6 linked regions of the Bombyx mori genome follow. Each later gene encodes a partner of the first gene's protein in a complex. Links are inferred from orthologs where the notes say so. Each region holds a gene or a part of one and is shown in the gene's direction. Other genes may lie near its edges. The genes, in order: nuclear pore complex protein Nup214, PCI domain-containing protein 2 homolog, nuclear pore complex protein Nup205, nuclear pore complex protein Nup85, nucleoporin Nup188 and nuclear pore complex protein Nup98-Nup96.

Region 1 (3,500 bases):
GTCGTTAGTGTAGAGGGCGTATAGAATAGGTGATAGGACACTACCCTGGGGAACCCCGGCCGTAATGGGACGCACGGAAGACCGTGCGCCCTCGACCGCGACAAAGAAGATTCTGCCCTCCAGATACGACCCGAGCAGTCGCACGTGAGCACGCCGAGCCGCGCCAAATACGGTGCTTTTATAGGCTTACTCGGTAACGGTATAGTGCGTTTAGCTAGTGGGGGTACATCTAACACTGATTATCGCCAAACGTCCGTGCACTGCGAGTGTAACGAGCAAAATGTGCGGAATTATCTAGGTACCCTCCTTATATAGGCTTGCCGAGTATTCGATGGCGATGTTTCGGAGGCTCCTTACAATATATATGAGCATTTCTCAAAATAAATGCACCACCAATAAAATAATGTACTAAAATAAAAATGTTAAACTAGAGCATTTTTTTTGTTTTCATTTGTAGATAGGTGTCTAAAGATTTTGAATATGAGGTTTGTTCTGAGGTTTAATATGTAATAAAGTAGAGAAATGTGTAGAAATATACCAAGGTGGAGAAATATTCTTATTTTGTTACCGTCTATCAATTACGTTAATTAAAACACCAAATCAATTTCGTCAACTTTTATGCATTTCAATAGGGTGACATAACCATCATTTTACGTGTCTATAAAAAACTGTTAACATTTACAGCAAAATGTTACTTATATAAGTTGTAATATATCCTTTACGTTACCATTTGCCCACAACTTTGTTTTAAAATCACAGTAAAGAAGTTTTGATGTTGTTTTATTTTTAAATACGTTCACAAATGAAATAACAATACACTTCTTTTGCTTTTTTAAAAAAAATTGCAGGTTTTAAGATAATAAATAAAAAATTTGAAAAGAAATACGTGTCCGCTTTTATGGGACAGTAACAAAAATGGAATATTGGTAACAAACTAGGATTTTATAAGGCTAGTTTTCGAAGTAGTTCAAATTATAATAAACTTTGACCCGTGTTAAAAATAATTATAATTATATTTATATATGTAGATTATAGTATGAACTGCTGTCAAAGGACATTTAAACATTTTTCGTTTAAAAAATACCCTATTCAAATATTTAGGAACATTTACGAGTAGGTAACAAAAATATCGTTTCAGTTCTTTTTTAATCATAATGAAAAGGAGGCCTAACGGTTTCTAATTCAGTAAAAACCTTTAATAGCAATAATCACATTCATCGGCTGGATAGTGATCGTATAAATCATAATCACATCTTTGGCACCAAAAAAATGGACAACGTAATAATATTTTTATTTCTACAGCGTTCATACTTGATACAAAATGCAGCGGATTATTAGACGAATCTGGAATAACATATCGGTGCCTTGATAAAATGTGTCGAAGAAAAAGGCCATGATAGGCCAAGGTGTAAACACAGGCACGCCACTTTTGTCTTTGTTTATTTTTTTCGTCTTCTGACATCTCACTTACTGATTTATATAAATAAATAATATAAAATAAATTCATAGTACAAATCTGTAATAGTACAACAAAAAAAACAAAGAAATTGACGCCGTTGTAATTGCAATAATTATTATAAAATTATTTTAAACAGAAAGTTAAATAATAATAATAATATATTATATATACTCAGCCTAATGATTTCCTATTTTGTTACTCTCTTTTCCATTTATACGTTACCACACAAAAGTAACAAAAAAAGAAGTAACAAATCAAGAACAACATGTCATTTTATTTGTAAACACATGTAACTCACACGATTACTCTTATTTCGATTTGATTAACGAAATCAAGAATGGGAGCTTTAATAGTAGGTTAAGTGAAATAACAATAAAATCTGCACTTATCTATGTTTTATGAGTAACAAAGGTGGAATTTTTTTTTTGACCGCTAGCTTAAATATTGACTTTTACCGTTCGTACCGGCACCAGAAAGAACTAGTCGAAATTAAAACAAGACGGATGCCAAGCCGGCTAATGCTACCATTATTCTAAAATATAACTGCATTAATCGATTATCATATTTCTTCAGAATTATGGTAACAAAAACTGGAATTTCTAGGTGGAACTTTTTACGGGACAAGTTAAAATCATTAATTAGAAATTTAATTATAAAGTAATGCTAAAAAGGATGTTTTAGGATGAATTGTGACTTATGGCTATAAATAAATAATATTTTTTATTTATACAATGCCCATGTCCATTCAACTAAAGATCGATGGTTTGGTAAGATATTGAGATTGGGACACTGCACTTTTCATACAACTGGTTGAAGCTGATTTATGATATATATTTTTAATGAAAAAATCTCATTGTATTTAAATCTGTTTTTTTCCTTTCTAATAAGTAGAGTAGTTATACTGCTTACACAATTTATAAAAAGTAGTAATGAACTAATATATTAGCCGGAACAAAATATTAAAAAAATGGGACAGAGGCTAAAGTCTATTGTGCAATAATTTTGAGAAATGCTCATATAATACAGAAATCTAATTTCCTTGTCTTATTTTCAGTGCCCCTTAAAGATGTTATTAAAGCTGAACCTAAAATGGAAACAAAACAATTTACCGAGACAGTAGCGCCGTTCTCGCCCATTCAGAGCAAACCCTCAGTACCGGGACTTCAAAACGTCACTAGAACATTGTTTACCGGTATGGTTGTATGATTGCATGTTTGTTGAATATTTCATACTTATGTGTGTACTAAATATCTTTAATCATACTGGTCATTCATCGCCTTCCCAACTCAATGTCAGTAATGCTTAGCCTAATCAATGTAAACAAGGATTGCAATTACTGTGTGTTATGAGGAGATTACTTAGAAAAATAATCAGTGCCCGTGTACTTATTTTCTATTTTTAGTCCACAATTTAGTTGTTTAAGCCTGAAAATTTGCAAAAATTTTTCAACAGATTATGTAAATAATGTATTAATAAAATAATAATAACAATTCCAGAACCGAAGCCCGAAGAACCCCGAGTTAGAATTCCTGTTGAATCTTTTAATTTTACTGGAGTTTGCTATGCACCACCCCCATTCTCATACACATCGCCTGTACCTAATATGTCTTCAAATCAAACGCCTAACAATGACTTGAAGCAATTCATGGGACAGAAAATATGCTCACCTATTTCTCCGTTCTCAAGTAAGGTTAAAACAAAAGATAAGACTTCGTACATATTTTTTTGTAATTATACCCAACTGATGCTTTTGTTGTAAAATTTAGATCAACCAGCTACTGCGGAATCGTTAGTGCCGGCCAATAAGTCGACAGCGAATCTTGGACTTAGTCAAAATAGCTTGTCTTCGAGTGCTCAAACACAGCCTGTGGTTTTTGAACCCAAACCTGTGACTGTCGCTTCTGTGAAATCCAGTGAAACCGGCGAACCTGAAGGTGCAGCAAAACCAGCCGACAGCAAGAAGGTTAATAAACCTATTACCAACCTGTTTGGTATGAAACCAACTACCCCATTTGCACCCACCATCTCTAATGTACCGGAC
Region 2 (3,966 bases), on another chromosome or scaffold:
GTAAATAAAGAACAACAAAGTCTTCTTTTTTAATTTTTAGGGATTTTATGACCTGGTAAGTAGGACCTTTAAGTCAAGTCTTATTTTTATTTTTATGAAAAGTGGTATGAAATGAAGGAAGCTGATTAATATAAAACAATGCACGAAATGTCATAAAATGAAAATGAAAATGAAAACGAAGTGAGACGAGACGAGACGAGATGAAACGGGACGAACGAGCACTTTCACAGATACTAAATAGTTAATAAACCACCGTTATTACACATTTAAACCTGAAGAAACACTTAATAGACAAAAATTTAATAAAACAAATCTCACAACTTCACTCTTCGCATTCCCGCCAAAAAGTCCCAAGCCTTCTCGTGTATTAAGTGCACAGATTGATGTTCGTTTTAATATGTATCGTTTGCGTCAGATAGGTGTAGGCATTACATATTATCTATTTTTTAGCTGCAAATACGGTACATCAATTTAATATAAAAATAGATTCCCTTTGGCTATCTGGTAGAAATAACAAACTCTCGTGTAACAGACACAAAAAGCTCAAGACCTTTAGGCGGGATCGTGAGAAAAGGATTAATGTGACTTGTTACATTTTGTTCATTTACTTTATGCTTAAACGTATAAAACAGTGGTTCACTAGCTTTTTCGCACCTGTGTTAATGCTTAAGGCTATGTTCCGATGTACACTGGGAGCACTGTAAAATATAATGTAAAATTAGTATACTGCGAAGCCATTCCTTTAATAGCTGCACTGGTTACTTTTTTAAATGGAACACAGTACAGTATAAGGGTGAGACCGATATATTAGTATTCATTAAGATATTCGTAATACAGCTTGGGAATTTTTAAATGCATTACTTTTTAATGTTTGAACCTTCATTTCTTGATTCCTTGAAGTCAAATTCCTAGATACAATATACTATTTATATTATTAATAACTAATGTGTATTATCTATGATTATTAACTTATTTCACGAATACCGTATTAGGTTTAACTCGTTTACCCGTTTTATCAAAGTATATTAAGATATCAGGATATTCACGTATTAGTTAAGGTATTATAATATTACATAACGAATATATTTGTATATTGACAAATATCAGTATTAACCCATCGTTAGTACAGTATGATGCCTGCAATTTGTGTCTCAAACAAAAAAAAATGTATGGTTGCCGCTGTTATAATTCACTTCATCTAAAAAAATAAATAAACATTTGATTTCACTTAATTACATTCCATTTCACATAATAAGTATAGTCTTGGCCTTCCAAATGCTTTAGCGGTATAGACTTCTTTCCGTGTGCCTATCCAAGGAATGAAAAACTTATCCTTTCTCCAGTTGAGCTGTGGAAAGTGGAAATGACATATAAAGAAAACAAAATTTCAATGTTTTCATGAGACCGATTTTGCGCTAATAAACTCTGATTCTTTGATAAATATCAATCATGAAATGTCGATTGACGAAATTATAGGAAAAACTACATTCTTGTAATTTTGTATATTAAAATTAGTCATTCAAAGTTAAAAATCCAGTAATACCTAACCACAATGTCGATGATAACTGGCACTCTTAATCAATACATACAATGTGTGGAACGTATGTACAGAACGGGACAAGGTAACATATTGTCTAGACTGTTGTCTCTAAGAGATGAACATGTCTACAATAGGAATCTATTATCTAGCGATATTGCAACCCTTGTCACAGGAAATTGTGTTGCTCCATTAGATGAACTTGTAATTGCACACTTATCATGTCTTAAGGTGAGATATATGAATTTAATTCTGGTTTTAAATTGATAAATATAGATTAAAAAATAGTAAATGTACCATTATTAATCTGGCCGTTACTACAGCGAACATTACCTGTTAAGTGTATTTTAAATATATCGTTTTATTAGCTTCTCGTCAAATACTTTTACTGGTGGCAAGACCTCTTGAGTCAGTAGTAGTCAGAAGCAGTAATGCATTTCGGTCAGAGACTGAGACCTTAGAACTTATATTTCAATATGGGTGGCGCATTTACGTTGTAGATATCTATGGGCTCCAGTAACCACTTAACACCAGGTGGGCTGTAAGCTCATCCACCGATCTAAGCAATAAAAAAAAATGCTTTGCATTCCAGGCATTATATGCAAGTGATTACATTGAGGCATACGATCATCAGAGTATATGTGTGGCCTCTGTCGTAAAGCTATTACAGGGACAGAAAGAAGAGAACTGGTGCCTTCCGGTTATGTATGCTGCATGTTTAGATCTTAGACTTGTTGCACAGAAAGCAGAGGCATCTAGCCGTAAGTATGAATTTGCATACATCATTCAAGAGCTAAGATAAGATGGTAATAGTATCAAGTGATTAGGGCATTAAGAATAAGATGCCTGGAGTACTCATATTGAAATCTTCAAATGCCAAGGAAAATAATGTGTCATAGAAATGAGATCTTATAGTATTTATGATGGTCGGTTGTGTTATAAGTTTGCACAACTAGGTATGTATTACCAAACTGCTTGTTTCTGTACTAAAGCAATCATGTATTCTAGCTTGAAGAATAGTGCAGCAATTACACTATACAATTCAGCCTTAAACTTCATCACTTAAGGCAGACTTCACAAAGTAACGTCTACAGACTCTAGTAACCACTCATCATCTGGTGGCTGTTTAAGTGCAGGTTCCCTTCTACTCAAGATTTGTCTCCTTAGTCTTGTTTGAAGAATGACTAACCCTAAGTGCTCAGTATATTCACAGGTGGTAGGATTCAACTCTGTTATGGTGGTACAATGTCGAAAAAACGAAATTATCTCAAATACTTGCATGAGTTGTTGTCTTAGTCAATATTGTGTTAAATAATCTGTATTCTGTACAATTAATTTCATTTGTCAATATTTCAGCTCAAAATGGCAGTAAAATTATGGAAAAAGCAGCAGAGAGCTTATTAGCTTGCTTCAGAGTCTGTGCTGCTGACAACAGAGCTTCAGATGTGGATACCAAAAAGATAGGCATGTTGTGTCTTGTAAACCAACTTCTTAAAGTATATTTCAGGATAAACAAGCTCCACCTTTGCAAACCATTGATTAGAGCCATTGATTCTTCACCATTCAAAGATCAATTCCCACTGGCCCAACAAATTACATACAGATATTTTGTGGGTCGTAAAGCCATGTTTGACTCAGACTATCGTCTAGCTGATGAATACTTATCGTTTGCTTTTGAAAATTGTCACAGAAGAAGCATACGAAATAAAAGGCTCATTCTAACTTATTTAGTTCCTGTGAAAATGCTGTTGGGTTTCATGCCCGCAAAATATTTACTAGAGAAATATGATTTGCTACAATTCTGGGATCTAATATCAGCTGTGAAAAATGGAGATTTGCGTGGTATCGATATGGTTATGGAGGAACATGAAAAGTTCTTCATAACGGCTGGTATTTATTTGATTGTAGAAAAATTAAAGATTACAGCATACAGAAATTTGTTTAGGAAAGTATATTTAGCGGAGAATTCACATCAGATAGACATAGCCAGCTTCGAGGCAGCATTACAAATCATGGGACAGGAAGATGTTGATTCAGATGAAACTCAATGTATTGTTGCAAATCTCATATATGATGGAAAAATCAAAGGATACATCTCATACCAACACAAGAAAGTGGTTGTCAGTAAACAAAATGCTTTTCCTCCATTATCTAGTCTGTATTAAATTTATACCATTTAAATAATACCTAGGGGAATACACACTTAATTTTTTGATTGTTTTAATAAAAATTAAGATTCCATTAGCATAAAGGCTGATTAAGTGAAATGTGATGATGAGCAATTGTATATCTGACGCAATTTCACTATTTAAATACTTTCTTTTTGATTACATATAATATCCATAAAAATACACAAAACAGTTCAGTAGTCCAGTTTTTTTATTTTAGTAGCACTAATGTGTTTAGGGTTGTCATTAAATAAAATAGAA
Region 3 (3,500 bases), on another chromosome or scaffold:
AGGCAAGGTTTTCCTTTATCTCATACTGGCGGCCCGCTCCAGCTTCGCTCGGGTCTTTAATAAAAAAATCCAAATTAACCATCATAATACACACACATCAACCCTTTTATTTGCGTCTACTTACTAAAAAAAGAAAATTATAAAGATAGTTTTGAATAACCTTGGGTTACATTATTGGAGTTTTAGCAACGATCCCTATTTAAAAAAAAAAAAGAATATAGCCTATGTCACTCGGGGATAGTGTAGCTTCCAAACAGTGAAAGATTTTTTCAAATCGGTTCAGTAGTTTCGGAGCCTATTCAATACAAACAAGCAAACAAATTTTTCCTCTATATATTATTAGTATAGATTGGACAGCTTTACTTATATTTTGGAAATCGTTTACCAAAAGATAAAATTTGAAAAACTTGAGTCAATGATCGTCGGAGGAACATTCGTTAGATATAACCGCACGAGCAGGTTGAGACATGTCGGTGTCGTCAGGTGGAGTGCCGCATCGAGGAGTACCCGCTGTCGCGCGCCTTCCTGTCGCTGCTGCAGTCGCTGAGCGCGGCGCCTCCGCCCCGCACGCTGGCGGCCGGCGTGGAGCCCTACGTGCAGCACGCGCTGCTGCGCCTCGCGCTGCCGGCGCCGCACCGCCCCTACGCCCGCCCGCACGAGAAGTGGCAGGTACGAGCCTCGCACTACTGCCGACTGACAACAACAATTTACTGTCGACAAGTCTCGCTGATCGCTGGGCGCCAGTCCGGAACTTAAAATACGGCTGGCGATACGTATGTTTATTCAAAAAAAAGTGTGTGTGTGTGCAAGTCACACACGGTAGAAGTGAAACTTATAAATAAGATATAGATATAGATATACTGACTATCCCACTACACAGGAACATACATATGGATAATGTTTAGTAGACGATAGTGGGGATGCTACGAAGAGTCGCACAAAGAGGAGACCGAGAACGTCTAATGTGTTCTATCTCGTTCTCTCGCCGGCTGAATCCTATACATTTATGTGTTTGTGTCTCTATGGACTTATTTTTTCGTTTCATCGAGTTTTAAATCACAACGATTCTAAAGAAATTTCACTTCAAAAAATTGACTTCAAGTTCCTAAGTGCGTCACTACTGTTGAAATACGTTCCAGATCCTATCGCAGTGCTTCCGGCTGTTCGGCACGTGGCTGGAGCAGTACACCCCCTCCCCCGCGGACTTCCCCTCCGCGGGCGGAGACGCGGAGTGTCCGGCGCCGCCCGGCTTCAGGATCCTGCTGCAGCTGCACACCAAGTCCGAGCTGCTGCGGCTCCTGCTCTCCTCGCTCGACCAAACCTACGAACTGCTCGAGAAGCAGCCTGGATCTGCGAATGTGAGAGCTTTCGTATTGCGTAGCTACCGTGCGGGCATCCTGTTGCGGCTAACAGAGGAACAAGAGTCGTCTATAAAAATTATACTTTATTAGAATAAAAATAATCTGAAGTAATCATTGATGTAGCCAACTTTTTAGGTAAAGCACATTATTTAGTGCCTTTTGTCTTATTTCAATAGGTGTTTTATAAAATAATTTTCTTAGCTTGCGTCATGAAGCGGCCAATGTTTTTTTTTTATTGCTTAGATGGGTGGACGAGCTCACAGCCCACCTGGTGTTATGTGGTTGCTCGAGCCCATAGATCTACAACGTAAATGGTATAGTTACAACGGCTGCCCCACCCTTGAAACCGAAACGCATAACTGCTTCACGGCAGAAATAAGCAGGGTGGTGGTACCTACCCGCGCGGACTCTCAAGAGGTACTACCACCAGTTCTGGGGAATTGCAGGTTCTTGGCGGTGCGGTGCGCGCTCCCTAACGGCGCCACGACTAGATAATATTTGAGAAACATCTATGTAAATATTATTGGAGGTATTGTCGGTATGACTACAGTGAGATCAAATAACTTCCAGGAGTACGTGGAGCAGTGCCTCATTAGCGTCCTAGAGATGCTGGAGCGCGCACTCGCCCTCGAGCGGGAGCTGGGCGCGGCGGCGCTGGAGGCGGGGAAATCTGTCATTATCATCGGGCTTTCTAAACTTATACTCGGTGTGTGTTTTTTTTTGGTATCTTCAAATATATAAAAAATTGTATCATGTTGTTTGTCCGGGATAAATTTTTGTACTTTGGACACTGTGGCTTGTTAGGTCCAACTTGATGGATAGGGTAGTTTTCATATCAATTTATAATCACAATATCTCTTTGTTGCAAATGATTTCTTTAAAATCTACAAAGTGATATTTGTGAGTTCTATAAGTTTCAAAACAAATGTCGGTATGAGTTATTTATTTTCCGGGTTGGCTAAGTATCTAATAGATGACGGTGTATTGAATTTCTAACAGTTTTATTTATAAATGCATCACAGTTGAGCACTGTGGCAATTACAATGTCGAAATAATAAAGGAGTTTGTAAAGTGACACAACATGTGGTCGGTGCGTACAGAGTCTGAGAGCGCGGAGAGCGGCTGCCGACTGCTGGCGTGCTGCCGCGTGGCGGGGCTGGCCGGCGCCGCGCCGCTGCCCGCCAGCCGCGCCGTGCAGCTGCTGTGCCGCGCCGCGCTGCAGCCGCCCGCCGCGCGACACGTGCTCGCCGCCGCCACGCGCACGCCCGCACTCGCCGCGCAGATCCGGTGCGCCCCCCCCCCTCACTGTCAGAAATAACGCATGTTCCATTTTTGAACCGAGTAAAGATATCTGGTAGCTATATAACGCTTCCCATAAGTATGGATCGACTGTCAATGAACACGTTCTTTAATTTTTATTATTTTATTTGCTTAGATGGGTGAACGAGCTCACAGCCCATCTAGAGTTAAGTGGTCACTGGAGTCCATAGACAATTACTACGTAAATGCGCCAGCCACCTTGAGATACAAGTTCTAAGGTCTCAGTATAGTTACAACAGTTGCCCCGCCCTTCAAACCGAAACGCATTACTGCTTCACGGCAGAAGTAGGCAGAATGGTGTGACCTACCCGCGCGGACTCATAAGAGGTCCTATCTCCAATAAGTAACGTTTTGAGATAGATACACGGTCTCATTCACCACTCTTCGAACTGGGACAACTCATAGTTTCGCGATATAGGCAGGCGGAATTTAGGTACCTATTCATATGGGCAACAACACATCCAGCGGAAAAGAAGTAAGAGATATGTCTTGGATATTGTAATTACTGGTATGATCAAAATTCGACCAGAATCACCGACACCTCATGTTAGATTCTTTATTTTGTATTTTTTTTTAACAAAATTAATATTTTTTAAATATTTTCAAATTTATAATTGAATTTCTGTTTTCCACTGGTGTATGTGCGCGCCAGTCGACTGCGTCAGGTCCGCCTCGCTAACGTCACAGTATCTGTTGCACCAGACACGGGTTCGTGGAGTGCTTGGAAGCGGAGGAGTGGAGGAGCGGGGGCGGCGGGGAGGACGCCGCGCTGCGCCGCGCCAAGGAGGGCGTCCTCTCGCTGCTGCACCACGTGCTGCC
Region 4 (3,232 bases), about 8.4 Mb from region 1:
CTCAGTTCCGGCCTATATCTATACTTCCTTTTCTTTCCAAAGTCCTTGAGCACATTGTCCACCGTCAGCTGTCGTCTTTTCTCCTCTCCCACAATCTTCTTAGCTCCTTCCAATCTGGTTTTCGCAAGGGCCACAGCACGGTTACAGCTCTTCTAAAAGTGACCGATGACATTCGCTGGGCCATGGAAAACAAACAACTAACTTTATTAGTGTTGTTAGATTTCAGCAGCGCTTTTAACTCTGTTGACTTCGATGTTCTGCTCGAAATACTCAAATCAAACAATATCTCCTCATCTGCTATTAACTGGTTTGATAGTTACCTTCGGGGGCGCTCGCAATGTGTCCGTCTTGACGAGATTTTCTCGGATTGGCAGAACGTCAGTGCGGGCGTTCCCCAAGGTGGTGTTCTTTCTCCTCTTCTGTTTTCTGTGTTTATAAACTCTGTCACTAGGCTTATATCTTCTAAATTCCACCTCTACGCAGACGATCTCCAGCTATATCGCCACTTCTCGGAGCCTGAAGTTGAATCGGCTATTGCTGCGATGAACAGTGATCTGAAGTCTATCAGTGAATGGGCAAAAGCCTACGGTCTGCACATTAATCCGGGAAAATCACAGGCTATCATTATAGGGGGTAAACAATTGCGCAGTAGACTCAGCGATCCTATACTCCCCCCAATTTATTTGGATGGGACTCAAATAACTCTAACCGATTCAGTTAAAAACCTGGGTGTTATTGTAGATCGACATCTTTCGTGGAGTTCTCACGTTGCTGAGATTAGTAGGAAGGTGCACTTTGCCTTGCACTCGTTGAGATGTCTGCAGGGCTTCTTACCTCAGCATACAAAAATATCTCTCGTCCAAGCTCTCATTCTACCCATAATTGATTACGCCGATGCCTGCTACTTGGATGCCACTGAGGAGCTCTCAAACAAGCTTGAGAGGATGCAAAATCTATGTATCCGTTTTATATACAATCTCAGAAAATTCGATCATGTTTCTCATTTTCGCAAAGAACTTAAATGGCTCCCTATACGCCTTCGTAGGAATACTCGAATATTATGTCTCCTATTCAATATCCTACATAAGCCCACTTCTCCCTTATATTTACGTGAGCGATTCTCTTTCATTCGTTCTCCTGATGCTCCCTGCAGGTCCAACCAACGTTCTGTTTTGTTATTCCCTTCCCACAAAACCAATTTCTATTCTCACTCCTTTACTGTGCACGCGGTCAGACTGTGGAATTCGTTGCCGGCTGACATCCGAGTTTGCAAGTCTGTTTCCGTTTTTAAATACAAGGTCAAACAATTTTATCTATCATCAACCGAATGATCATGGTTCTATACTCTTCGCATATACGAGTGTTACTGTGTTACTTTTAATATTTGCTATGTGTATGTGCTATAATTCTCATGTTGTATTTGTTATTTTAGTTATGTGTTCTACACACACTTATCACTTTTTATTATTATTCTCATTATCCTCTCGCAGGTCTGCTGGAAGAGATTTCTCAAAGAAATAAGCAGTGCCTTTGTACATAATTTTCCTATTACTCTGTACTGTGTCTTGTTTTCTGTGTGTACATAAATAAATAAATAAAATAAATAAATAAATTTTAAATGGTGTAATTAATATTAATAGACAAACCTGAGCAGTTAGCTTAATACATCTATTTACAGCACAAATAAGTGAATAATTGCCCTCAATTTGGCAATACAAAGGTAGAACAAATTTTAAATCTCAAGATTAAAAAATACAATTGAGTTAACTAAAAATTGGATTTACCCAATTGACATTTCCAGGTAATTCATGAAATCCAGCATATAACAGATAATGGATGGTTTGCAACACATCTATCAGACATATTGTATCATTGTGGAAAATTAAAAGTATTGGATAAACACCAAAATAAGTGAGTAGGATTTGAGAATTTTCTGTTTTATTGTCTCTTACTTTTTGAAGTCCTTGTGGCCTGCGAGAGATGACATGCGTTGTGTTTGCATCGAGCCATACTATGGTGCCAGTTATTGAATCTTGCAGGCTGTTATCAATTTGTCTGTACTCAACAAATGTTCACGATTGACTTCAACAGTGAAGGAATAACATTGTTTATTGCATAGTTACTGGTGGCAGGGCACCTTGTAAGTTAGCATGGGTAGGTGCCACTGCTTTTCCCGTTTTTGCTGTGAAACAGTAATACGTTTCGGTTTTAAGAATGGGGCATACTGAGAAACTGATTTAGAATTAATATCTTAAGGCGGGTGGCCGCATTTACGTTGTTGAGGTCTCTGGACTCCGGTGACCACTTAACGCCAGGTGGGCTGTAGGCTCGTCCACCAATCTTAGCAATAAATAAATATCAATATAAAAAAAACTATTTAACCTCATTGATGTTGAGGTTTCGATTGTGTTCAAACCATCTTTAAAACTAATCATGAATAATCATCCAATCATAATTAATCATTTTTTAATATTTGATTGTGTCAACTTTTAGTTAAAAAGTATTAATCAATCTTGAAATATGTGGCAGTATTGCATTCATTGTGTATCATTGTTCATCCTATAGGTAAAAGTTACCACAAGCAGGGCCTGTGAGCCTAGCTATCTTCACTTATAAATGAAAATAAGTGTCACATTTTTTTACTGCAATCTCATTTTTTTCTCCAGAAGAAGAACATTCATGCTTAATTTGAGTAATAATATTATTTTTATAGTGTAACTCAACGTCTCCGAGACAGTTTAATTCTTGAATATGGAACCTTGATAATGGAGCACAAGTCACTCTGGTCCGTCGGACTATCCTACCTTGCTTCATGTCCCCCTGAAGGTCTATGCCGAGCTCATTTGTTGCTAGAGAGGATTCCGATCAATACTCATGCCAAAGCTATGAGGGTTGTTGCTGAAGCTAATAAATATGGACTTTTGGAAGTTGGTAAGTACATGAAGTATTACTATGAATTTAATTTGAATGTGGCAGTCTTTCGTGCCTATGGTATATAATATATGATTTCCAAATGGAATTCTTAAGAAATTATTTGATAAAAACCAGGAAGGAGTAGTATTATGAAAATAAAAAAAATGGGAAAGCTGCTTCATAGTTAATTTGAACTCTGATAACCATTAATAAGTTAAATTAACTAGTAACTCCTACGAGACCGTTTCCAATATGCAGCATGAGTTTGTTGATGAATTGTGTGGTGGTTGGTTGCAGGCGAGGGCGTGTGGCGCGTGTT
Region 5 (3,955 bases), on another chromosome or scaffold:
ACAGTTCTAGGGAATCCATCAAGTAAGAAACCATTCTTGCACTCAGGTTGATCCAAGTTCTTGTCAATCATATCAACCACCATTTCATCGGAAACAAGTTTGCCCTCATCCATGACCTTCTTAAGGCGTCGTCCCAGGTCTGATCCCGATGAGACTTCAGCACGCAGCATGTCACCAGTGGATAGGTGACAAACACAATACTTTTCTTTCAGACGAGGAGCCTAATGATAATAAACAAGTTCTCATGTATTTCAAAAATTGAATAACTGGCTTCATTATTGAATTTCTAATTTATATTTCTAATTATTAAATACTAATCATTAATTAAGTATTTATAATTATTAGCCTCAATGATACTTAAGTAATAATCAAATATTCACTATTAGTTATAATATGAGATAAAGAAGGCCAAAGTTCAATTAAACCACATACCTGAGTCCCCTTACCGGATCCAGGAGGGCCAAGTAGCACGGCCCTTATTCCTAAAGGATCCTCATCAGGTTTTAGTTTCGTGGCTGCAGCGGCCGGTGCCATATCATCAAATTCTTAAGCCTTCAATTAATTAGAGCCCTGTACAGACAAATCTGTCAAAGTTAGAATTGCAGAGGTGTTGTAACTACGTTTAGATATGCGTAAATTAGCACGTGATATAGTAATCAAAAGTTCAATTGCAATTTACATGATATCTTAAAAAATTATCAAAACTTTTTAAATGAATTTAATTCCACTCACCGAAATAGCCGACAGGCAAAGGGAAACAAAGTCCATAACGAAAAAATTATAAGGTGAGAAAAGGTCAAAGCCATACATATTTAATTCAAAACAAGTGGATTAAATAAAAATAAAAACACTTAGAATGAGGTTAGAACTCATCTCGAATTTAAATAAAACTGTAATTAAAGCATTGGTGAATTTTGTGAGGAGGCTCCAAAGGACTTTTTGAAGTAGCGGAGAAGTTATTTTTTTTATGAATTTAGTTATTAAAATTTTAATCAATAATAAATTGTTTGTATTTTTTATTTTTATGTTAATCAAATTGATTTAATTCTTTGTTTAACAGACGAAGCTCAATTGTTTTAAAAATATGAATGACTTATGTACTCTTTGCCTCTGAAATCGATAAAAAATATATACTTTGACAACAATAGTTGCACTTGACATTAGCATCATAGCCTCGCATAACCTGAAAATGAAGAGGCGGTAAATATTTATACGAAACTGTTTTCTATAATTTCCACTTTTAAAATTTTATTCTGTACCTAATATATGTCAAACCGGCTGGTCGTACTAGTTCTGTACTGCAATCAAGTTAAGTATGACAACGAGTAGTGTAAAGTAAGTTTCGTTCGTTAATTTTAAGTATTTAGTTTAAGCATTTCTGTATTTAACTACAAATTTCAGTTATTGGAAGAGGCTATGGCGCTGGACAACTTCGGAGAGTCTGACTACAGAAGAATTGACCAAAATTTTTGATACAAAAGAAGTAAGAGATGGACTTAAAATTGGATTGGCTAGTTACAAACAAAACAAGCCTGAGGACTTTACCAAACTTCAGTCACAGTATCCGGATCAAACAAAGCTGCTCACTATAGTGCAGACACTTCAAAATTATATTGTGAGCTGATATTTCAAATATATTACGTTTAATAAAATATTTGGGAATTTTGTTGTGTGTAATTCCTGTAGTTTTCAGTTAATAATACTATGAATTTTCTTGCAGGATGTCGACTGTTTTCAATTATGGGAAATATTAAAAAACTATTTGTGTGATATATCGTATGGTACACCTGAGAGTGCATTAAAGAATGTTGCATTTGTTGACACCCGACCTACATATTTGTCTCCCAAAGTATGGAGCTTCTATTATTCTGAGCGACTCTTTCTACTCAAATTGCTTCAGTACATCATTCAGCTTAAAGATGATGCTCAATATAAATATCAAAAGGAATTCACCAAGATTATTGAAGATATTGGCATACAAAACATTAAAACCTCACTCATATCTCAATTTGAAAAGGTCTTAAGTGCTGCTCCACCATCTAGAAAAATATTGAGTGATTTTTCTAATGATTCTGTGCGACACACTTGGTTAGAGAGTAATTTGAGAGAACAATTAGCAATACTTCAAATACTCTTAATAATTGCGGAAAAGAACACATTTCAAGCTGAAGAATTCAAAAAATTGTTTAATTTGTTCATAAAACACAGTTTTGGGAAGAATTATGGGTTCAGTGAGTTCCTGGGAGAAAGACACAGAGAGCAATGCCTCTGTATTATGTACATGGAAGTTTGCCTGTTTATGATCATTATTGATCATTTGAAAATGTAAGAATTTGGTGTAAACATTGTAATTTATTTTTCATTGTTTTATTCAATTTATTTTTGGCACTATATATAACATATTGGTGTTGTAATTTACTTTGGCTTGGCTGTGACATTTCAGTGATAATTTATCAACATGGATAGAAAATACTAAAGAAGTTGTAGAAACTGAATTGACAAAAATTCAAATGTGTACAGAACACAGTGCCATGCTTTTGACGTGGATGCTGGTAACGTTGCAGGTAATTATCAGTTTTTTAATTAAGGTATTCATCATGCAAAGCTTACTTGAAGGTTTAGGTGCTTTTAGGCACTACAAGCACCGGTCATCGTCCTCGTCGAAACCGTCGCTTGCGACGAAGGGCTCGACGAGCGAATTAACCCACAGACACAGCCCACTGAGTTTCTCGCCGGATCTTCTCAGTGGGTTGCGTTTCCGATCCGGTGGTAGATTCTGCGAAGCACTGCTCTTGCTAGGGTCAGTGTTAGCAACCGGTTTGAGCCCCGTGAGCTCACCTACACACGCTAGGGTAAGCTGAAATAAACTCTCAAGGCTATCAGCATAGGTAGGAAAAAAAACCAGAAGGTTTATAATCAACGTTGCTTAAGAATAATATTGTTGAAAGAAAAACAACCAATATCTGATTTTTATGTAATAATATATATATATATTATTACATAAAAATATATATATATTTATAGGTAATAAACCCGAATGTGCTGTTTTGAGACACTGGGTTCATATACGTACCCATATACCAGGAGCCTCAAAGCAGCGCAGATTTGTGAATTAAATGTTTAAATGTTTTAATTGCTAATTTTAATTTTAATTTTAATTTTACTAACATAGTTCTAAGTATTATTCTACTTACAACATAATAATATGGACTTAAGAGGGTCTGAATTAAATGAATTTTATTTTTTTTATTTTTTATGTCACAGCTGGGCAGAACAAATGACAAATCTTTTTTAAAGGATTTATGTAGTGCAGAACTTTTACTATCTTGTAGAGTTCTCTTGACATTCGTTACATAATAATATGAAATACTTACTAAATATATAGCAAGTCAACGACATTGATTTGTAGAAAATAGCCCTGTAATCTATACCAAAAAGTATATTTACACTACTCAGTAAGGCTCATAAATTTTTTTGTTGAACATTGTGTTATTGTTACAGAGTGATCAACATGTAAAATTATTTGAAAGCCAATATCAACATTTTGGCAGTACTGCAATGAAGATGAAAGTGTTTGAGTTTCTTCAACAGATGCTGAACAGTCCTGTATTCTCAGTAAGTATTCATTCACACATTCATTACCGTAACCTTTAAAAATATTTTGTGTTATTTCATATCTATTCTGAATTTTCAATATAAATTATTATCTAACATAAGATTAAGATAAATGAAGGAACCTTTCAACGTTTTATTTGAACTGCTTACTCATTTTGGTTTGGTAAATGTTACCCTTAACAAACAAGACAAAATATAGGTATATAAAGGAAAGTCCTAAAATCCTGACTTGATTTATAACTGAAAATTTGTATTTTCATATACATCGTCTGTCTATCTATCTGCATGTCTGTCTATCTATCATGATCATTCATTTAGGACAGCCTTTCCCAAAGTAGGC
Region 6 (4,116 bases), on another chromosome or scaffold:
CATGCATCGGCCCGCTAAGTTTCTCGCCGGATCTTCTCAGCGAGTCGTGATTCCGATCCGGTAGTAGATTCATTCACGAAGCAGTTGCTCTTGAGTTGTTAGGTCTCGTTTGGAGGCGTTTGGGCAGCTGTTAGCTAATCCCAACCCTCCTGGCTGAGCCCGTGCTCACCCACCTGTCCTGGTAAAACTGGAAAGGCCTCTGAGCCACCAGTAATCCATCATTCATAAGAAAAAACCTTTAAAGACCGGAACGCATGTTTATGGACACACTCTAGAAAACTTGGATACGTTCCGTCATGACATATTCAAGTGTAGTGTTCGCTCACGCGCTCCACACTCACATAAACTCCAGGTCAGCCAATCCCGTTTCTACAAGATAGCCTTCGAAGCACATTAGTATGTAAGGAATTAACGACATCCAATTAAAACCAACACGTGAAGGTACCGTCACAACGCTTCTTCGAAAGAGCGGTGCGACGCGATAACCTTTTTATTGTGGCTGTCTTTAACTACATAATCGTCACAGACGACGGGGCACATCGGGACACTCCCGATTCACTCTCGGTGCTTTCAGACTGTCTAAGCACTGATCACCGCTCTCATCGAACTCGTCAATTAACCCATAGACACAGTCTAATGTCTTTCTCATCGATTTTTTTTGTGGGTTGCGATTCCGATCCGGTATTAGATTCAGCGAAGCACAGTTTTTGTTCTGGGTCAATGTTAGCTCGGGTTAAGCCAGTACTTGCTGGATCATGACGGAAATAGACAGTGTAATAATCCACCACCAGTAAAATTAGAGGAAGAGGCAGAGAGAATTATAAAGGAAAAAAAAATAAAAAAAGTCTTCTGTGGTTTAATTAAATAAAACCATATTTTGAAGTGACTTTTCGACATCATTGTGAAGAAGATTTTGACTTCCAAACAGATTTTAATAAATTAAACTACGAGTGTGACGTTATTATCGAATTTCATGCAAACCTAAGTATAGCCCTTTTCAAGTTCCAAGGAAGTCTGGAAGACACGTTTTATATTAATCTAAGTTACATAACAAAGGAGTTGGCATTGTTGTTACTTATGAACTAGTCTGATTTATCAATTCTTAGTTCCTTGGCATAAGAAAACAGCCTTGTTAATTCCACTTTTTAATTTTATGAGCTATGTTAGTGACTTGGGATCTCGGTCTGGCCATTGCCCTAATCGAATTTTAGCGATCTTGGATTATGTAGTAATATTTTAAAAACTTATTAAAATTTATTTGTCCATGATTTGTTTTTTTTTTCTTAAAAATTAAATTTTTAAATGGATTCAACAATCTAAGTTGAAATTGTCGATGGTCAGATCATTGTTTTGTTTACCTACTGAAGCCGATGTATTCTGCGTTTTCTTCTTAATAACAAGTATTATATGTAATTAAGTACTATTAAAGTGAACAAGAAAAGGAGAACGGTTTTTCGTGCATTTAAAGCCGCACAACAATCTTTCGATACGAACACGGTAAGATTCTTGAGTTTCCAACGTTATGTCGATTACCCGACCGATTTGTAAGATCCTAATTTGAATTGATAAAATAACAATAGTTGAGATAATAACCACGAAATTTGTGTTTATACTTGTTACGAAGTATTAGTGAAAACTGTAAATTAGGTAATTGAAATATCTTCGAAACATCTTCGTTATTTTTAATTTCTTGCTTATTATACCATCCTCAAAAACATAAATCAAACGAGTATTGCGACACTCTTAATTTCGTTTGGTTTTACCTCAAAATTGACGTCACACGTTTTGGTTGCAAAATTTTCTAATAAAATTGTGAAATTCGTTGTGCAATAAAAAGCTAATATAAATAAGCATACAGCAACAATGCTTTACGGTTGCGAGTTATCGCTATAAAGTGCAATACCAACGGAAATTCTCTAAACGTCTTGTGGTTAGGTTAAGTACTGCGTCTAAAATTTAAAATTAATAGAATTCAAATAGACACAGAGTTATATTTAAAATACGTTTTGCAATAAAAGTGAATAAATTGAAAGAATTTAATAGTAAAATTCAAAAATACTATTGTTAGAAATTCTGATAATAGTGTAGGTATTTGTATACTTTTTTCAATATTTTTATTTTTGATTTTAAAAACGACTAATCTTATAAAATATAAACTAAAATCTAATTAAGGTTAAGTTTTGTAAAATTTAAAAGTATTTTTTTTTTGTAAAACTTAGTGATATTTTTATTGTCTCTAGAGAGAAACTAGCAGTTGTCTTTGAAAACAGTAACATTGCCTTTGTAGACAGACATTCTATTAATTTTCAAACACATATAAACCGACAATTATGGCAGTCATCACGAAACATGAACTTTTGAAGTGGAATGACTGAATTATTCCTAAATGACTTTATTCTAGGCTATCAGAAACATCATAACTCCCAACTGTATGAATTCAGAGGAAAAAATTGTCTTCTCACTGACTATTTTACCAACAAAGCTATGGTCTTACTAACAGTATTATAAACTAAACACGTTGCACACTGGCATTACAGAGTCCTATGAGCCTGTATGGGTAGATACCACTGTCATGCCTGTTTTTGCTATGAAGCAGCAATATATTACGGCTTTAAGCAGGGAAAAGCTACAACTAACTTAGAACTCATCTCTCGAGGTGGCTGGCGGTATTTATGTTGTTGATGTCTAAGGGCTGCAGTAACTCCATAAAAAGGAATTCCAAAGAAACCAAATAACATTAGGCTTAGTGGTGATTAAAATTGTTGATTTGGCCAACATATTCAAATAGATAAGATCTTGGAATTATGATCCAATTTAATCTAATTATTTCATTAAATTTTTTTATTACTATACAACTGGGACATGGATCTCACGTTTTTAGGTGGGTGGTGGCATTATGTGCTCTGCTAGCCACTTAACCAAGCCAGGACACCCAAGAGAACGCTCACACTTCAATACTTTTAAAAAAATTATTAAAGGGGTTGTCGTTCTAATGAACTATTTGAAATTTATCTATAGTTTGAGAACCACACCAGCTGTAGCTGGAGCAGTTCTCATTCCTAATACCCGGAACTGTCATAGTTTTTGCCGCATACTGTGCACTATTTCTCAAGCACACAGGACATGTCTTAGAATAAGGATGTGTTTCAAACATAGCCTTTAGGATTGAAAAGTTGCATAATAATTTTGGCCATGGTTTTATTGGTTACCGATAGTGTTTTTTTATAGCTTTGATGGGTGGACAAGCTCATGGTCCACTTGGTGTTAATTTTTTTTTATTGCCTTTGTAGGCAGACAAGCATACGGCCCACCTGATGGTGAGTGGTTACCGTCGCCCATGGACTTCAGCAATGCCAGGGGCACAGCCAAGCTGCTGCCTACCGCTTAATACTCTCCACAAGCCTCATTTGAATAAACTGGTAACCTAACCCCATAAGAGATCTGCAATGTAGATGCCACCACCCACCTCAAGATATGAGTTGTAAGGTCTCAATTTGAACAGTACAATGTTGGTGAACAACACCTGGGCCCATATCTGTCTGAAATCAAAGACTATAAAAAAGTTAATATGGGAAATAAATTTAAATAATATTTTTCCTTATAAATTTCACTATAGCATGACTCATTTGTGACCTTTTACTTTCATTCTTGGAATATCTGTGTCATGACATTGATTTCATAATTGAACACACTGAACCACTGTGTAATAAGATCCTTCTACTCTTGGTCATTATATATAAAGAGTCCTATTCATAAAACATGTTTTAATTTCAAGAACATTTTACACTGCATTTTGTTACATGATAGTGTAGCCATCTGTTATTGTGTATTGCTGAAGCAAGCACCAGTATTTTGTTAATAAAACAATGTTTGGACTAAATAATATATTGTACTACTAATAAAAATATATTATATGTACCCACAAACTATAAAGTAAACATAAAATTTGAAATAATTAAACTCTTACAAACTACGAAATGAAAAGGGTACTATTTGAAGTAGCTGTATAAAAACAACTATATACCAAAAAAAATATAATAGGGTAACATAAACAAAAAAATTTACAAACTTTAAAATAAAACAAAAAGGTTTCTTTATATAAGACTGATTAATAGC

The links.
Region 2: nuclear pore complex protein Nup214 (region 1) and PCI domain-containing protein 2 homolog share a complex: the UniProt entries of both Drosophila melanogaster proteins name them as parts of the nuclear pore complex. The link is inferred for Bombyx mori from reciprocal best matches to the Drosophila melanogaster genes Nup214 and PCID2.
Region 3: nuclear pore complex protein Nup214 (region 1) and nuclear pore complex protein Nup205 share a complex: the UniProt entries of both Drosophila melanogaster proteins name them as parts of the nuclear pore complex. The link is inferred for Bombyx mori from reciprocal best matches to the Drosophila melanogaster genes Nup214 and Nup205.
Region 4: nuclear pore complex protein Nup214 (region 1) and nuclear pore complex protein Nup85 share a complex: the UniProt entries of both Drosophila melanogaster proteins name them as parts of the nuclear pore complex. The link is inferred for Bombyx mori from reciprocal best matches to the Drosophila melanogaster genes Nup214 and Nup75.
Region 5: nuclear pore complex protein Nup214 (region 1) and nucleoporin Nup188 share a complex: the UniProt entries of both Drosophila melanogaster proteins name them as parts of the nuclear pore complex. The link is inferred for Bombyx mori from reciprocal best matches to the Drosophila melanogaster genes Nup214 and Nup188.
Region 6: nuclear pore complex protein Nup214 (region 1) and nuclear pore complex protein Nup98-Nup96 share a complex: the UniProt entries of both Drosophila melanogaster proteins name them as parts of the nuclear pore complex. The link is inferred for Bombyx mori from reciprocal best matches to the Drosophila melanogaster genes Nup214 and Nup98-96.

Annotation. Positions count from the first base shown.
Region 1 is NC_085123.1:8,937,261-8,940,760, reverse strand, and holds part of nuclear pore complex protein Nup214, read left to right. Parts: intron 1-2,513; coding exon 2,514-2,651; intron 2,652-2,955; coding exon 2,956-3,144; intron 3,145-3,225; coding exon 3,226-3,500. UniProt on the Drosophila melanogaster protein: Part of the nuclear pore complex. Serves as a docking site in the receptor-mediated import of substrates across the nuclear pore complex including emb, RanGAP and phosphorylated Mad. Protects mbo/Nup88 from proteasomal degradation at the nuclear pore.
Region 2 is NC_085115.1:3,910,084-3,914,049, reverse strand, and holds the start of PCI domain-containing protein 2 homolog, read left to right. Parts: upstream 1-1,166; 5' UTR 1,167-1,552; coding exon 1,553-1,768; intron 1,769-2,129; coding exon 2,130-2,298; intron 2,299-2,893; coding exon 2,894-3,702; 3' UTR 3,703-3,966. UniProt on the Drosophila melanogaster protein: Required for the export of nuclear mRNAs and involved in mRNA trafficking in the cytoplasm.
Region 3 is NC_085121.1:1,017,873-1,021,372, forward strand, and holds part of nuclear pore complex protein Nup205, read left to right. Parts: coding exon 1-2; intron 3-483; coding exon 484-669; intron 670-1,139; coding exon 1,140-1,358; intron 1,359-1,931; coding exon 1,932-2,067; intron 2,068-2,461; coding exon 2,462-2,648; intron 2,649-3,383; coding exon 3,384-3,500. UniProt on the Drosophila melanogaster protein: Plays a role in the nuclear pore complex (NPC) assembly and maintenance, but with limited role in NPC permeability. Required for specific nuclear import pathways such as Mad import.
Region 4 is NC_085123.1:525,397-528,628, reverse strand, and holds part of nuclear pore complex protein Nup85, read left to right. Parts: exon of another isoform or gene 1-175; intron 176-320; exon of another isoform or gene 321-1,775; intron 1,776-1,801; coding exon 1,802-1,911; intron 1,912-2,713; coding exon 2,714-2,931; intron 2,932-3,210; coding exon 3,211-3,232. UniProt on the Drosophila melanogaster protein: Component of the nuclear pore complex (NPC) that seems to be required for NPC assembly and maintenance. Required for nuclear import of phosphorylated Mad via importin msk.
Region 5 is NC_085111.1:4,872,385-4,876,339, reverse strand, and holds the start of nucleoporin Nup188, read left to right. Parts: upstream 1-1,155; 5' UTR 1,156-1,315; coding exon 1,316-1,335; intron 1,336-1,401; coding exon 1,402-1,615; intron 1,616-1,720; coding exon 1,721-2,325; intron 2,326-2,443; coding exon 2,444-2,564; intron 2,565-3,501; coding exon 3,502-3,615; intron 3,616-3,955. Other genes in the region: adk2 (adenylate kinase 2), read right to left, coding at 1-221, 433-534. UniProt on the Drosophila melanogaster protein: Component of the nuclear pore complex (NPC), a complex required for the trafficking across the nuclear envelope. Required for proper protein transport into the nucleus.
Region 6 is NC_085117.1:3,515,590-3,519,705, forward strand, and holds the start of nuclear pore complex protein Nup98-Nup96, read left to right. Parts: upstream 1-1,316; 5' UTR 1,317-1,497; intron 1,498-1,531; exon of another isoform or gene 1,532-1,647; intron 1,648-1,778; exon of another isoform or gene 1,779-2,084; intron 2,085-4,116. UniProt on the Drosophila melanogaster protein: Part of the nuclear pore complex (NPC). Required for MAD import as part of the Nup107-160 complex and required for nuclear export of Moe probably via its association with Rae1. Plays a role in nuclear mRNA export.